2 linked regions of the Callithrix jacchus genome follow. The protein of the gene in region 1 binds, or shares a complex with, the protein of each later gene. Links are inferred from orthologs where the notes say so. Each region holds a gene or a part of one and is shown on either strand. Other genes may lie near its edges.

Region 1 (3,655 bases):
ATTTCACTAGAGGTAGAGTAAAAGTATTGGATTTGGAATATGTTGGTCTATATTATTCCAGGTTTAGGTGTTTCACTCTTAACCACATTTGAATCTTTGTGAACAGCACAAGACACTCCTATGTATCATATAGCTGGGTCCTGTCAATGTGTGCTTCTTTGTAAGCTGTGATTTATTTGCATCATAAAGAATTGAGTTTATTAGTAACATATTACATAATGAGCAAATTAGTTAAGTTTGTATTTCAGTTTTTAGAAATCCAATTAACAGTGGTCAAGATATTAAAACCAAGTAAATATCCAGTAAAATTCTTATAAGATTACAGGATCTAATATCATACCCTTACTTTAGATGGCTGAGACAAATTCGTCACTTTTAGTTCTTTCCCAGGCTTTACTTCATTTTTGTTATGCCAGCTCTTTTCCTTGTTTTGTCAGTTTGTTTTTGTCACAATTTGTGCCATTGTTTGCCTTATCTTAGAACCAAGGAATCTGGGAAAGGGTTCAAGTCTTTTTAATGTGGGTTTTTCCAAACTTGAAATCTTCTAAATATGAGCATATAGAAATAAACTGGAAGTGGTATTTTTTTTTAGATGGAGTCTCGCACTGTCACCTGGGCTGCAGTGGCATGATCGACTCACTACTACCTCCACCTCCCAGGTTCAAGCAATTCTCCTTCTTCAGCCTTCTAAATAACAGGGATTACACGTACCCACCACCACACCTGGCTAATTTTTTGTATTTTTAGTAGTGACAGGGTTTCACCACATTGGCCAGGATGTTCTTGAACGTCTGACCTCATGATCTACCTGCCTCAGCCTCTCAAAGTGCTGGGATTACAGGTGTGAGCCACTGTGCCCAGCCCAGAATGTGGTATTAATATAAAACCATATATTTATATACCTCTGTATACATCTTATGTGTTTAGATAAAATTTACATGTGTTTTCTATATGTTTATAATTCTCTCTCTACATATAGAATTATAAACTTATATAGGAAACACATGTAAATTTGTTTATACACACACACACAAAACCATTAATTATAAAAATGATTTTTTTTATTTTGAAGTGAATAAATTGATTTTTCCCCCTAGAGTTATCATCAGTGCTACCCTGTGAAGTTGCTTTTTGAACATGTATCTTAAATAATGTGGTAGTTATTAGATTCCATTATTTGGAGTATTATTTCCAGGTCTATTTGAAAGCCAGCTATCCTTTTTTTCTAATAAATAGTTGGATTGAAATTAAAAGACAAAGTCTATCCCTCAAGAAGGAGACTGCCAGAAATCAACATGATCATTACTTATTTCTCATTGTCTAACAGTGTTTGGAGATTGTTCATCATATGAAATATAATGTTCCAATATTATTTTTTGGCATTATATACCACTAGCTATTTTCTGTACAATAAACTATTCCTTCTTATGCCTTAAAACAACATTAGCCACTTAAAAATTGTAGTTAAAAATTGGGGGATTAATTCTGTTTGTGAGTCAAGTATTAACAAACCTCCTTCTTCGGTATGGAAAGATTACACTAGGTTAGCCTTCTACTACTACAGCTTCACTGTACCCCTGATAAAAGTAAAAATGACCGCTGATTGTTAATCTGCCTTGGAACTAGGAGGGATGTGGATGGATCATAAATACAGCTGGAAGCTATAGCTTTGGGCTTCCCATAGTGTGCTTCTTCTTACTAGGTATGTCCTTCCTTGTGCTTAACACCTGACCTGTTTTGGAGCTGGAGAATGGTCTCTGAACTCCTACTGAAGAGACATAGTTGGTGCTGTCCTGCTGACATGCTGTATTCCTGGTCTGCATCCTTCTTCAGAGCTACTCTGTGTCATATATATTTTGGCCCATTGAATCTTGTTAGTTTGATTTTCCTGCTGAACCTAATACCACTGCTGCTGGTTGAGCAGACTGGCCATTGTACTATCATAAATATTTAAGATGAAAAGTGTAATAATAATAATTCTTCCTTTTTTTTTTTCAGAAATGTGTTACGGATGAGTGTTTCTTTTTTGAACGATTGGAATCTAATAACTACAATACTTACCGATCAAGGAAATACACCAGTTGGTATGTGGCACTGAAACGAACTGGGCAGTATAAACTTGGATCCAAAACAGGACCTGGGCAGAAAGCTATACTTTTTCTTCCAATGTCTGCTAAGAGCTGATCTTAATGGCCACATCTAATCTCATTTCACATGAAAGAAGTATATTTTAGAAATTTGTTAATGAGAGAAAAAGAAAATGAACGTGTACAGCTCAGTTTAGATAACTGGTCAAACAACGTTTTATCCAGTAGTAAAATATGTAACCATTGTCCCAGTGAAGCAAACTAACAAAAATTGTTTAAAAATATATAGACTTCCCCCTTTCATATAGCATCTGCTGTTACCCAGTGAAGCTTACCTAGAGCAATGATCTTTTTCATGCATTTGCTTTATTTGAAAAGAGGATTTTAAAATGTGTACATTTAGAAACAAAATTTCTTCATGGAAATCATATCTATTAGAAAATTACAGTCAGATATTTAATCCCAAACGTCCACTATTTCTTATTTGTTAGTTTACATGTTTCTAAACATATAAATGTGAATTTAATCAATTCCTGTCATAGTTTTATAATTCTCTGGCAGTTCCTTGTGATAGAGTTTATAAAACAGGCCTGTGTGCACTGCTGGAAGTTCTTCCACAGTCAGGTCAATTTTGTCAAACCCTTCTCTGTACCCATACAGCAGCAGCCTAGCAACTCTGCTGGTGATAGGAGTTGTATTTTCAGTCTTGGCCAGGTCATTGAGATCCATCCACTCACATCTTAAGCATTCATGCTGGCAAAAATTTATTGTGAATGAGTATGGCTTTAGGCGGCAGATGATATACATATCTGACTTCCCAAAAGCTCCAGGATTTGCGTGCTGTTGCCGAATACTCAGGAGGGACCTGAATTCTGATTTTATACCAGTCTCTTCAAAAACTTCTCTAACTGCTGTGACTCCTACATAAAAAAGAGATGTACAAATCAATAAGGATTACAGTTTTAGAAACTGTATTATCAAAGATTTTCATTTCAGTTAAAGTAGCATTATCTAAAGGCTCAAAACATTACCCTAACATAGTAAAGTTTCCAATACAAATTCTTTGCCTTGTGGACATCAAGAACACCAAAATATTTTCTTATCACTGTACATTTAAGAAGCTTTTGAAATGCTGAATATTTCTTTGGCTGCTACTTGGAGGCTTATCCACCTGTACATTTTTGGGGTCAACTCTTTTTAACTTCTTGCTGCTCTGTTTCCCAAAAGGTAAAAATATAGATTGAAAAGAAAACATTGCACTGGTGCAGTTCCCTTGTTTCTTGAGATAAGATTCCAAAGAACTTAGATTCATTCCTTCAACACCAAAATGCTGTAGGTGTTTCATCAGAAGTTTTCAAAAACTTGGAATATAAATAATTTTATAATTCAACAAAGATTTTCATATACGGTTGATTTTTCAATTAAATGCAAATTTCTGTGGCGGGGTTTTTATTGCCATTAACATATTTTTGTGGCTGCTTTTCTGTACATCTAGAGAGACCCCCTAACTGTACTTTCTCTAATTTTGTGATGCTGTCATTCTTTCCCAAGGCATTTAGGAGAAGCCC
Region 2 (3,655 bases), on another chromosome or scaffold:
CCCACTGTATGGCAAGCTTAAACCAAAAGTCACTCCTCCTATAAAAGAGTTGTACTATCTTGCATCTAGTTATTGTGGAAAGCTGGCCTCAGGTCAGCAATCCCACGAGCGTCGGAGGGCTTAAAACCCCTCCAGTATAGTTGTGCCATGGTGGCTCTAAACCCTGTCGGCTCTCTTGCTACTGGGCTAACTTAAAACATCCTCCTACAAAAATCCTTAAAAGTAGCCTGCCCCTAAATAAAAAATGTTGCACACTGCACCCTCCTTACTGCCCACTGCCTACCTCCTTACTGCCCACTGCCCACCTCCTTGCCTCGGTAACCTAATAGAAGTAAACCCCTTGCTGCCCACTGCCCACCTCCTTGCCTCGGTAACCTAATAGAAGTAAACCCCTTGCTGCCCACTGCCCACCTCCTTGCCTCGGTGACCTTATGGGGATAGGCCTTTTGCTTATCACTCATGTAAGTGTCTTAACGCTGTCACTATCCTTAAAATAACCTCACTCACTACCCTCGCCCCGTCCTGTACCTAATAAGTACAGACGCACCTAAACACTCAAAGCCTTGCCTGTCTCCACTTACAAGTGGCGTTGGCCCCCCAGCTCAGCTGCTGTTTTTCAGTTCTTTGGTGTCCTGTCTCTATTTCTCGGATCCAGCGCTTCAGCAAAGCAATAAGAAACACCCCACAACCCTAGTGGGGCTAAACCCTACATTCAGCACTTTTGTCAGGTAATGATGAACCAATTTGGTAATTTAAAGGAGTCTGATTACATTTAAACCTTTTGTGATAGTGTCCTTAAAATGTATGCAACTTTCAGTACTCTGCAAATGACCTCCTTCAGGAAACTCCTTAAGTCCCACCTCTCCCTTCCATTTCAGGATATTCTCTCATAGTATTCTAAACTATTTCAAAATGAAATATATTATCACATCAAATGACATTTTCACCTTAGCCCATGGCACTATCCTCTCTTCAATGGTGAGATGACCATGCTTGTCTATGCTCCCAGCATCTAGCATAGTTGTAGATGCTGAGATTGGCAAGGTGCGTCACAGTTAACTTTTTACTCAATGTGCCAAGTTTGGGAATAGTTTACTTTTTTAATATGTTCAAGAAGATTCATGGTTTCTCTAAAGCATGTGACAAATCTTATGGTTCAGGCTGTAGAAATTTCAGACTACTACTGCTGCTTCCTTATTGATAAAATTATTTTTCAGTTAGACAGAAATAGCTCTGTAGCTGGGAATATCAGACTGTTTTACCTATGTCCCAGCTGGTAATCTGGTAGAGTATGTCATAACTGTGAGCTCCTTTGGTCTATGAATACAAAGATTTAGACCCACAGATATGGAAGATTTGATATGAGACCTGCAAGGTGTCCTGTTTTGTGTACAACAATTACTATACTAATATGAATTAGACTACTTTTAAATATGATTAACAATCTGATTCAACAGTCTGTTACAGAATTTTTCAACCATTTTTTAAAATCACTCCCCTAAATAGCCTTTTAAAGAAATTTTTTTTTTTTTTTTTTTTTTTTTTGAGACGGAGTTTTGGTCTTGTTACCCAGGCTGGAGTGCAATGGTGCAATCTCGGCTCACCGCAATCTTCGCCTCCTGGGTTCAAGTAATTCTCCCGCCTCAGCCTCCTGAGTAGCTGGGATTACAGGCACGCGCCACCATGCCCAGCTAATTTTTTGTATTTTTAGTAGAGACAGGGTTTCACCATGTTGACCAGGATGGTCTCGATCTCTTGACCTCGTGAACCACCCGCCTCAGCCTCCTGAAGTGCTGGGATTACAGGCTTGAGCCACCATGCCCGGCCCTAAAAAAATTTTTAAAGATACTGTTTTCTTAGCTGCTCTCCCATGAACTTTTAATCCCAAGTGTATACTGTATATCTGTTTATGGTCCTGTATGTATATCTGTGCTTTTGCACATAAAAAAGGTAACATTTTCTAAGAACGAATTTTTGCCCCCTTGGAGAATGCCTGGTTTACTCTGAAGCTCAACTGACCGAGGCTAGAAGTTGCCTTTTCATCAGTATTTTCGAAGCATTAATATCAAACTGACATTAGTAACTGAAATAAATTAGCTATTCTTTTTCAGTGTTGATCTTTCCCATTCAAATAATAAATATACTCTTATTCTGAATTGTCTCTTTTCCAGGTCCTAGAAGATGTGACTGGTGAAGAATTTGTTCTATTCATGAAGATACTGTCTGGGTTAAAAAGCTTACAGACAGTGAGTGGAAGACAGCAACTTGTAGAGTTGGTGGCCGAACAGGCTGACTTAGAACAGACCTTCAATCCCTCGGATCCTGACTGTGTGGACAGGCTCTTACAGTGCACTCGGCAGGCGGTACCCCTCTTCTCTGTGAGCTCTTTATTTTACACACCTGGTATTTTGATTACTCTATTAGCTGTGTATATTTCCATGAATACTAACTTTAACATTCCCCTTAAAACTTTCTAGTAGTGTCCCTTATCTGAAATGCTTGGAACCAGAAGTGTTTTTAGATTTTTTAATATTTGCATTTTTTTGAGAGAAAGAATTTTTTTTTCCTTGAGACAGGGTCTTGCCCTGTCACCCAGGCTGGAGTGCAGTAGCACGATCTTGGCTTACTGCAGCCTCCACCTCCCAGGTTCAAGCCATCCTCCTATCTCTGCCTCCCAACTAGCTACTACAATAGGCATGTACTACTATACCCAGCTAATTTTTATATTTTTTGTAGGTACGAGGATTTCCCGTTTTGCCCAGGCTGGTTTTGAACTCCTGAGCTCAAGCAGCCTGCCCTCTTTGGCCTCCCAAAGTGCTGGGATTACAGGTGTGAGCCACCATGACTGGCCAAGAAATTTTTTTAAAAGCCTTCTAGAGACGTTTTTTAAAAGTCATGAGAATTTTGCATTCTGTCTCAGGCTTTGTGTTTCCTCTGGCCATGCATCTTCTGGTATGTGCATACATTAGTTTGAAAAACACAGCTTAAAGGGACTATCCTAGATCAGGCGTGGTGGCTCATGCTTATAATCCCATTTTAGCACTTTGTGAGCCAAGGTGGGAGTTCAAGACCAGCCAAGGCAACACAGCAAGACCTCGTCTCTACAAAGAAAATTAAATAAAAGAACTATCCCTTTTGAGAAACACACAGTCTGAAAATCTAACACTAAAATGTGCCCCCCAATTTTTTTTTTTTTTTTTTTTTTTTGAGACCGTCTTGCTGTGTCCCCTAGGCTGGAATGCAGTGGCATGATTTCCACTCACTGCAACCTCCACCTTCTGGGTTCAAGTGATTCTTGTGCCTCAGCATCCCAAGCAGCTGGGATTACAGGCATGCATCACCACTCCCAGCTAATTCTTTATATTTTTAGTAGAGATGAAGTTTTGCCATGTTGCCCAGACTGATCTTAAACTCCTGAGCTCAGGCGATCTGCCCGCTTCCGCCTCTCAAAGTGCTAGGATTACAGGCATGTGCCACCATGCCTGGCCATGTCCCAAATTTGACCTGAGAATCAAGGAAAAGATTAAAATGTATAGATGTCCCAATGCTCCAGATGACTTTGCAGCAAAGTATATAAGGGGTCTTCAAAAACTTTCTGGAAAATGCATATTTGGAAAAAAAAAAACTATGCATGTATTTCAAAACACTTTTTACC

What was found. Proteins that work in one complex are often made in the same cells at the same time.
Region 2: the proteins of FGF2 (region 1) and API5 are in contact, whole or in part, in a crystal structure (PDB 6L4O), measured with the Homo sapiens proteins. The link is inferred for Callithrix jacchus from reciprocal best matches to the Homo sapiens genes FGF2 and API5. Residues at the interface, in NP_001997.5 of Homo sapiens: Asn169, Arg181, Arg223, Lys261, Arg262, Thr263, Gln265, Lys267, Lys271, Lys277, Ala278; in NP_001136402.1 of Homo sapiens: Asp145, Arg148, Glu184, Asp185, Val186, Thr187, Glu190, Glu219, Asp222, Gln225, Asn228, Asp231, Arg237.

The regions. Positions count from the first base shown.
Region 1 is NC_133504.1:74,737,839-74,741,493, reverse strand, and holds part of FGF2 (fibroblast growth factor 2), read left to right. Parts: intron 1-1,998; coding exon 1,999-2,184; 3' UTR 2,185-2,609; coding exon of another isoform or gene 2,610-3,007; 3' UTR 3,008-3,655. Other genes in the region: NUDT6 (nucleoside diphosphate-linked moiety X motif 6), read right to left, coding at 2,610-3,007. UniProt on the Homo sapiens protein: Acts as a ligand for FGFR1, FGFR2, FGFR3 and FGFR4. Also acts as an integrin ligand which is required for FGF2 signaling. Binds to integrin ITGAV:ITGB3.
Region 2 is NC_133511.1:108,379,418-108,383,072, forward strand, and holds part of API5 (apoptosis inhibitor 5), read left to right. Parts: intron 1-2,171; coding exon 2,172-2,378; intron 2,379-3,655. UniProt on the Homo sapiens protein: Antiapoptotic factor that may have a role in protein assembly. Negatively regulates ACIN1. By binding to ACIN1, it suppresses ACIN1 cleavage from CASP3 and ACIN1-mediated DNA fragmentation. Also known to efficiently suppress E2F1-induced apoptosis.